Linked DNA regions of Macaca mulatta. The protein of the gene in region 2 interacts with the protein of the main gene of each other region in a pairwise test. Links are inferred from orthologs where the notes say so. Each region holds a gene or a part of one and is shown on either strand. Other genes may lie near its edges.

What was found.
Region 1: the proteins of USP54 (region 2) and ATXN1L interact in binary tests that used the Homo sapiens proteins (3 or more experiments, as listed by UniProt). The link is inferred for Macaca mulatta from reciprocal best matches to the Homo sapiens genes USP54 and ATXN1L.

What each region holds. Positions count from the first base shown.
Region 1 is NC_133425.1:68,022,972-68,027,710, reverse strand, and holds part of ATXN1L (ataxin-1-like), read left to right. Parts: intron 1-935; 5' UTR 936-1,055; coding exon 1,056-3,125; 3' UTR 3,126-4,739. UniProt on the Homo sapiens protein: Chromatin-binding factor that repress Notch signaling in the absence of Notch intracellular domain by acting as a CBF1 corepressor. Binds to the HEY promoter and might assist, along with NCOR2, RBPJ-mediated repression.
Region 2 is NC_133414.1:76,014,257-76,018,995, reverse strand, and holds part of USP54 (ubiquitin carboxyl-terminal hydrolase 54), read right to left. Parts: intron 2,275-4,739; coding exon 2,143-2,274; intron 1,963-2,142; coding exon 1,582-1,962; intron 1,343-1,581; coding exon 1,111-1,342; intron 574-1,110; exon of another isoform or gene 467-573; intron 222-466; exon of another isoform or gene 1-221.

The sequences.
Region 1 (4,739 bases), on a different chromosome or scaffold from region 2:
TCATAACCTGGTTAGGGAGCAGAGTTTAAAAACAAAGACACAAGCAGACCTGAAGATTTTGACACCTAGGTCCTTGAGGTACGGATGATATGAGGCAAAGGAGGAAGAGAGTTTTTAGCCAGGCTTGGGATAGTAGTAGGTGAGATCATAACCCAAATTAGGCTACAGAAAGGAAGCAAGGATGAGGTCATGTGTTCAGGAAAGAAGGTGGCACATTCATGTTTGGTAGCAAAAGGAGAAACTTAAGAAAAAGAGCCAGCAGGAGGCTGGGCGCTGTGGCTCACACCCATAATCCCAACACTTTGGGGGGCTGAGGCGGGCAGATCACCCAAGGGCAAGAGTTCAAGACTAGCCTGGCCAACATGTGAAACTCCATCTCTATTAAAAATATAAAGTTAGCTGGGCATGGTGGTGCATGCCTGTAGTCCCAGCTACTCGGGAGGCCGAGGCAGAATTCCTTGAACCTGGGAGGCGGAGGTTGCAGTGAACTGAGATTGCACCATTGCACTCTGGCCTGGGCAACAAAAGCAAAACTCCATGTGTAAAAAAAAAAAAAAAACACACCAAAAGAGCAAGCAGGAAAGACCATGTGTTCAAAGCCCCCTTTGGGAAGAAGGCAGAAAAAAGACAAGGTGCTCATGGCTCATGAGACATATGACTAACTGTGAAGCTGTTGGTCTCTCTGGGCTTGTGGAGCCCACAGGTTATTTGTGCATTGGTGAATGCTTGTCCCTATAGCTCTTTGTGCCTTGTGTTTCTCTCATGTCCCAGGCTGGATGAGTTGGGGGTAGCCTCCTTGTCTGCCCCTTTCTCTTTCCTCCTTATTTTCTAACAGTCTCCTTTGTTACATCTTCCTTCATGGCGCAGTTCTTTCTATTTCCTTTGTCTTGGCTCATCCCTAGGTTACTTTTGTTTGCCTCTGATTTGTTCCCTAGCAGATGTGGGCGCCCCAGCCAGAAGCAGAGAGGGGTACAGGGAAGCTACAGAGAAGCCCCTTCTGATGCCCCAGGGAGCAAGCCGACTCCTTCCAGGCTCCAGGAACACCACAAAGCAATATGAAACCTGTTCATGAGAGGAGTCAGGAATGCCTTCCACCAAAGAAACGAGACCTCCCCGTGACCAGCGAGGATATGGGGAGAACTACCAGCTGCTCCGCTAACCACACACCCTCCAGTGATGCTTCTGAATGGTCCCGAGGGGTTGTGGTGGCTGGGCAGAGCCAGGCAGGAACCAGAGTCAGCCTGGGGGGTGATGGAGCTGAGGCCATCACCGGTCTGACAGTGGACCAGTATGGCATGCTGTATAAGGTGGCTGTGCCACCTGCCACCTTCTCACCAACTGGCCTCCCGTCTGTGGTGAATATGAGCCCCTTGCCCCCGACGTTTAATGTAGCGTCTTCACTAATTCAACATCCAGGCATCCACTATCCCCCAATCCACTATGCTCAGCTTCCATCCACCTCACTGCAGTTCATTGGGTCTCCTTATAGCCTTCCCTATGCTGTGCCACCTAATTTCCTACCGAGTCCCCTCCTGTCTCCTTCTGCCAACCTTGCCACCTCTCACCTTCCACACTTTGTGCCATATGCCTCACTTCTGGCAGAAGGAGCCACTCCTCCCCCACAGGCTCCCTCCCCAGCCCACTCATTTAACAAAGCTCCCTCTGCCACCTCCCCACCTGGGCAATTGCCACATCATTCAAGTACTCAGCCGCTGGACCTTGCTCCAGGTCGGATGCCCATTTATTATCAGATGTCCAGGCTACCTGCTGGGTATACTTTGCATGAAACCCCTCCAGCAGGTGCCAGCCCAGTTCTTACCCCTCAGGAGAGCCAGTCTGCTCTGGAAGCAGCTGCTGCAAATGGAGGACAGAGACCGCGAGAACGAAATTTAGTAAGACGGGAAAGTGAAGCCCTTGACTCCCCCAACAGCAAGGGTGAAGGCCAGGGACTGGTGCCAGTGGTAGAATGTGTGGTGGATGGACAGTTGTTTTCAGGTTCTCAGACTCCACAGGTGGAGGTAGCGGCACCAGCACACCGGGGGACCCCGGACACCGACCTTGAGGTCCAGCGAGTGGTTGGCGCTTTAGCTTCTCAGGACTATCGTGTGGTGGCAGCTCAGAGGAAAGAGGAACCCAGCCCCCTCAACCTATCCCATCATCCCCCCGACCATCAGGGTGAGGGGCGAGGGTCAGCCAGGAACCCTGCAGAGCTGGCAGAGAAAAATCAAGCCTGTGGGTTCTACCCTCAGTCCCATCAGGAACCAGTAAAACATAGACCTTTACCCAAAGCAATGGTTGTAGCCAATGGCAACCTGGTGCCCACTGGAGCTGACTCAGGCCTGCTGCCTGTGGGCTCGGAGATCCTGGTAGCATCAAGTCTGGACGTGCAGGCCAGAGCCACCTTCCCAGACAAAGAGCCAACGCCGCCCCCTATTACCTCCTCCCACTTGCCTTCCCATTTCATGAAAGGCGCCATCATCCAGCTGGCTACGGGAGAGCTGAAGCGGGTGGAGGACCTCCAGACCCAGGATTTTGTGCGCAGTGCCGAAGTGAGTGGGGGGCTGAAGATTGACTCTAGCACGGTCGTGGACATTCAGGAGAGCCAATGGCCTGGATTTGTCATGCTACATTTTGTGGTTGGTGAGCAGCAGAGCAAAGTGAGCATCGAGGTGCCCCCTGAGCACCCCTTCTTTGTATATGGCCAGGGTTGGTCCTCTTGCAGCCCTGGGCGGACGACACAACTCTTCTCTCTGCCCTGCCATCGGCTACAGGTGGGAGATGTCTGCATCTCTATCAGTTTACAGAGCTTGAACAGTAACTCAGTTTCTCAGGCCAGCTGTGCTCCCCCAGGCCAGCTGGGTCCCCCCCGAGCAAGGCCTGAGAGGACCGTCTTGGGACCCAGAGAGCTATGTGACAGTGAGGGGAAGAGCCAGCTGGCAGGAGAGGGCTCCCATGTGGTAGAGCCTTCCCAGCCTGAGCCTGGTGCTCAGGCCTGCTGGCCAACCCCGAGCTTCCAAAGATACGGCATGCAAGGGGAGGAGGCACGGGCTGCGCTGCTCCGTCCCTCTTTCATTCCACAGGAGGTAAAGCTGTCCATTGAAGGGCGTTCCAATGCGGGAAAATGAACCTCTTTCCCAGACCAGGACTGGGGCTTTACCCCAGAGCCTTGCCTCGCCGCCGTGAGCAGGCAGAGGATTTGCACACGCCGAGCAGGGAATGGCTTTCTTGGCAGTGAGATTTGGGGGAAAGGGGAGGCATGAAGTCAGCCTCCCAAGGCAGGATCTGTTGCTCATTACCCCATGGCGTCCTTTCAGGACAACCCCAGAGGGTGTTGTGATGGGGAGCAGCAGGCCTGGGGCAAGGAAGGAAGGGGGTGCACACAGGAGAAGAAACATTCCAAAATCAGGGCCTCCCTGTTCTTTCCTCCCCATCCCTAGCTCCTGCAAGAGAAAGTCCAGGCTTTGGGAGCAGATGGCAGAGGGAGGGAGTAAAGAGAGCCAAAAATGATGATCCACAGCTTATAGTAGCAGTTAAACTGTCAGAAGTTTTTTTTCTTTTTTGTGGTGGAAGGGCAGGAGGCCCCAAGGTTGGAAATAAGAGGGTTCCCACCCAGAACCCTTCTTGTGAGAGATGCGCACTTTAAAGGGTGATTTTGTTCCAGATGTCTGTGGCTGAGTGTGTAGGGGAGGAGCACTCTGATCTACAGGACTCTGCTTGATCCTCTGCTTCATAGCTCTTCCCCATCTCTCCTCACCATTCCGCCTACAAGGCTTCTAGCAGCACGGGGGCCCAGAGGGAGAGCCCCTTCAGGGTTCAGAGTGAAGTACTACCTTGCCAGGGATTAAGTCAGCGGACTTTGGGAGAGAGACTTGATAGCCAGGCTGACTGGGTTCTAGGCAGGGCCTCTGGAAAGGTAGCTCACCTAACAAAGCTCCTCCAATTCAGCATGCCAGACTCACTTTGAAATCTCACAGAATCTTGCTGGTAATGGTGACTTTAGAAAGAATTAGTAGACCCTTTTTTCCCAGGCACTGATCCCCCACCTTTGTCTGTGTTGTGCCTAAGTGCCTGCGCCGCCCCCACCCTCCTGCTGCCCTGACCTCTGCATGGTGTTGTGACCTGGGCCTCATTTGTAGCTGCGCTGCCTTTCCTTGTCTGCAAAGTTGGTTTTGTCCACTCTGACCAAGACCTCTAGTTTTTGGTGGGTAGGGGTCTCTCTGGTTTCCCCTTCAGCTATAATCTCTATTTTTAAAATCTCAAAATCATGTCCCCTCCACTTCCACTGCCAAACAGCTTGGTGGAGAAAGAAGAAGGGAACTATGCCCTGGGCCAGGGCAAATGCATGGCTGGGCAGTGCCCATCGTAGCATTTTCACACGTCCCATATGCCCCTCACATCTTGTTCCACTGCTTCTCCCGGCATTCTGGTGTCTCCAATCCATCCCCTCCCACCACCAGCTCTAAGATTCTAGGATAGGCTTGATAACATTTCAATACCTGAATAGATGTCATTTTGTGGTGGTATATTCCTCTGCAAAAAGTATTTTCAATCTTAGTTGCATTTGCACCCCCCCCCAGCCCCCGCCAATGTCTTAATCCCACATTTTCTTCACAACTTTTAGCATCAGCTCAGACCGTGGGGTTCCATTGGGTATTGGGAATTAGGCTCCCCCACTAGCTTTCAGGTGGGTGAGTTTTTTTGTTTGTTTTTTGGGGGTCTTTAGACTCTTGAAGGCAACT
Region 2 (4,739 bases):
CCTGCCTCAGCCTCCCAAGTAACTGGGATTACAGGCGCCCGCCAGCATGCCTGGCTAATTTTTGTTTTTTTAGTAGAGACGGGGTTTCACCATATTGGCCAGGCTGGTCTCAAACTCCTGACCTCAAATGATCCACCCACCTTGGCCTCCCAAAGTGCTGAGATTACAGGCGTGAGCCAACATGCCTGGCCTAATCTGCTCTTTAATACATTTTTTTACTGCAGATATTTAAGGTATACAACATGATGTTATGAGATGTTATGAGAGACAGTAAAATGGTTACTATAATTGAAGGAAATTAACATACCCATCATCTCATCTAGTCACCCATTTTTTTTTTTGTTTTTGTGGCAAGAGGAGTTAAAATCTACTCATTTACCATGAATCTCATATGCAGTGCAATTTTATTAATTGTAGTCCTCATGTTTTACATTAGATCCCTAGACTTGTTTATCCTACATATCTGAAAAATATGGAAATCTTCACAAATTTTTGTGTCACCTTTGAGCAGGGGCCATGCTAATCTTCTCTGTATCATTCCAATTTTAGTATATGTGCTACCAAAGCAAGCACTAAACAATTATTTCATTATCCTTAGCAAATTAAGACAGGTACAGAAAACCAAATACGGCATATTGTCACTTATAAGTGGCAGCTACATGATGAGAACACATGGACACACAGAGGGGAACAACAGACACGGGCCTATCAGAGGGTGGAGGGTGGGAGGAATGAGAGGATCAGGAAAAACAATTAATGGGTACTAGCTTAATATGTGGGTAACAAAATGATCTGTACAACGAACTCCTATGACACAAGTTTATCATAACAAACCTGCACATATACACCCTGAACTTAAATTTTTTTAAATTACTTTATACATAACTGTACTTCAAAGTATTTCAAAGATAACTGTACATAGAAAGTTCTCTCCTTTCTCAAGTGCCTTTGTTCTTCCAGCAGAGGGTGCTGTTGTTATAGGAAGTTGATAGAGCACATAGTAGCAAAGGCCTTCCCTCCACTTGTCTAAACCTTGCCTGAAAGCCCCAAGTAGGTGGCTCACATTGCTGCAAGGGACAGTGTCACAACTGTTCAAAGGTCAAACAATACCTGTAGACATTTGAGCTCTCAGGCAGGGCTGCATCCAGGCTGACGGGGCTGCTGCTGTTCCTCTCACTGCTTTCATAGCCAGATTCCATTCGCTGGATTAGTCGGGGCTGCTGCTCTAAAAGGTGAGAGCCTGGCCGTGCTGGGCCCCAGTGCTTGTACTGGGGGCTTGGTCCACCAAATTTAATGTCATAAGAAGGTGGCTTGCTTGGTTCATCTGGTATAAATTCTTTAGCTATCCCAATCAAAAGACAGGTATGGAAAACGAGGTAGATTTAGCATTTGCCTAAAATCAAGACCTAACTAACTCCTCCCTCTGGCTACTTACTCACTGAACTCATATCCTTAAAACACCCAACATCAGAGTAAAAATGCCCCTTGCCAGATGTACCAAAAAACCCAGGTTTTAAAAAGACACAAATCAACTTTATTCAAAAGCCCAATTCTTCCCCCATTCTTCCCTTATCTCCTCACCTGAATCCTCAGAAAAGGGGCTAAGCTGGGTATAGCCACAGTGCTTCCTTTTGTCCTTACTAAAGATACTGTCAATATTCAGAGATTCTCGTTTTGGTCTCCATGTTGGACGATACTTGCTGGAAGAACTGGATTTTGACTCACTGCTGGTACTCTCTATTTCCCAGTCACGAGAGTGTAAAGGTAGGGTCTTAGGAGGTTTTTTGTCAGGCTGGTCTCCTCCCCTGCCCCCACAGTGGGAGCCTACATTGGTCTGAGAAGCCAGGGATGGTCTGTTATGGATCATATTGCTGACTGTCTCTTTAAAATCCCTCAGCCTGTTGGTGCTGCTGGATGGTTTGGAGGCATTTCTAGGAGCCTGCTTCTCTTTCAGTGTTTCTCCTAAAAACACAAAGAATGAAAGAAATATAGATGTTTAAAGTGATCATGAATACTAGATCCCAGTGTCGAAAAAGCAAAGAAAAGCCCTTTGAGCAGAAAGGAGAAGCTAACAGTCTGGAGCATGACAGAAGTTTGATAGAGTGAATGAAGGAGAAAGAGAAGCAGTGCAGAGGGGCTTGCCTTCACTGTGGTATCCTGAGGCCTGGGGCTCGTCGCCTTTCTTCCTAACCCGACCAGAGCTCCTCTTGCGCTCTATCAGTGACCCTTTTTTGGATGTGTGTTTCTGATTACATTCACTATCAGTCAGGTGTCCTGAAAAAACAAGGAAATTGGGGTAAGCTGGTATCTGAGACTAACCTCCATCCTCCTGAGAACCTACCTAATCTCCCTTTGGGAGTGCCACAAATTTAGAGTACCCATGGAACAGAAGCTGTAGGGCATAGGCTATCTGATTTCAGTGTAGGAACCTCCCAGTAGATAAATGCAGAGAAGGGCCTGGTACAGTGACTCACACCTATAATTCCAGCACTTTGGGAGGCTAAGGCGGGCAGATCACTTGAGGCCAGGAGCTTGAGACCAGCCTGGCCAACATGGCAAAACCCTGTCTCTACTAAAAATACAAAAATTAGTCGGGCATGGTTGCATGTGCCTGTAGTCCCAGCTACTGAGAGGCTGAGGCATTAGAATCACTTGAACCCAAGAGGTTGCAGTGAGCTGAGATCATGCCACTGCACTCCAGCCTGGACAACAGAACAAGACTCTGCTAAAAAAAAAAAAAAAAAAAAAAAAAAAAAGGATAAATGCAGAGAAGCTGGGAGCATCCAAATTTACAATGTCTTGACCAATCTCAATCCCACTGATAATCTTCCCCAGTGACCCAGAAGGTCTAACGACATGTTTCTAGGTAACTTTTTAAAGGCAAAAGTTTTAAAGATTATATAAAAATGTCAGGTAGCCATATACTTTCGCTCTCATAAATTGAAGACAGAGTTTTCCTTTTATTTATTTAGCAACACATATCAAATAAAGTCTGATTTTCAGTACATCTGGTATTATCCTGGATACTCCAGACTTTGCCCACAAGAGCTCTGATTGTATATGGCTTTAAGACCCAGTTCTAAGCTTCCCTTAATTGTAGATCATTTAAAGGACACTTCAACTTTGATTAATTCTCATTCCTATCCCCTACCCATGCTTCACGAAACTTGGCTCTATCCAGAGATTACACGTCACAGTTCCTTAATACTAATCACTGGGAAAACCAGGAGAGCTGGGCTCTTTTATGTAACTTGCCCAGCTTCATGCCCATAGTATGCAAATACATGAGCATGATTTGATGACAGCAAAGGTCAGATTCTAAAGGATATAAGCAACTAAAGTGCTGGAAGCCAGAGATGAATTAAGCAGGTAAAATAATTTTTTTTTTTTTTTTTTTTTGAGACGGAGTCTCGCTCTGTCACCCAGGCTGGAGTGCAGTGGCCGGATCTCAGCTCACTGCAAGCTCCGCCTCCCGGGTTTACGCCATTCTCCGGCCTCAGCCTCCCGAGTAGCTGGGACTACAGGCGCCCGCCACCTCGCCCGGCTAGTTTTTTGTATTTCTTAATAGAGACGGGGTTTCACCGTGTTAGCCAGGATGGTCTCGATCTCCTGACCTCGTGATCCGCCCGTCTCGGCCTCCCAAAGTGCTGGGATTACAGGCTTGAGCCACCGCGCCCGGCCAAAATAATTTTGAAGATACACTTAGGAAAAAAAAAAAAAAACCCTAGGTCAAATGCACGGAAAGCTAACAAGAATTTGTTTTCACATGACAGTATATGAAAATCCTTATACATATTCAGGTATCACCAGTGTAGTGATATGGATAAATATTTTCAATCAGTTGCCCCTTGGAATCTTGTATTGCTTTTATTTGGTCCTTTTCTACCTCTGTGCCCACAAGAAAGATTTAAGAGAGGAGGAAATGACTTGGAGCAACTAAGTCTTTTTTTTTTTTTTTTTTTTTTTTGAGATGGAGTCTAGCTCTGTCGCCCAGGCTGGAGTGCAGTGGCATGATCTTGGCTCACTGCAAGCTCTGCCTTGCGGGTTCACGCCATTCTTCTGCCTCAGCCTCCTGAGTAGCTGGGACTATAGGTGCCTGCCACCACGCCCAGCTAATTTTTTGTATTTTTTTTAGTAGAGACGGGGTTTCACCATGTTAGCCAGGATGGTCTCGATCTGACCTCGTGATCCGCCCACCTTAGCCTCCCAAAGTGCTGGGATTACAGGCGTGAGCCACTGCGCCTGGCCGCAACTAAGTCTTACAAATGTTAAACCAATGGGCATGTTCTCCATTCCTCACACCCTCCCTGCCAAAACCCCTAAACCATTAACACAAATCTGCCTCTACTGGAAAATACGCTTAGTTTATCCTGTGGCTTGGCTTCTCCCTGGTTCACAGATTCAAAAAGTGGGTCTAAAAAACTCACATCTGACACAATCAATGCAGTAGTCATCAAAAGAAAACCAACACAAGTCTGACCAAACCTCTAGGTCCAACTACCAATTTACAAGAAATATAGGACACAGAAACATGTTAAAGTATACCATAGGAATAAAATCAGCAAAATTCAGAATGTGGGAAATCTACAGGACAAAATACCTAGTTCTAGCAATAAATTGCAAGGAAAAAAATAGAGGAAAAAACATTATATTAAAAGAAACGCAAAGGATTTATCAACTCATCACAATACACAGACCTCATTTAGATGCTGAGTCAAACACATAAACCATGAAAATAT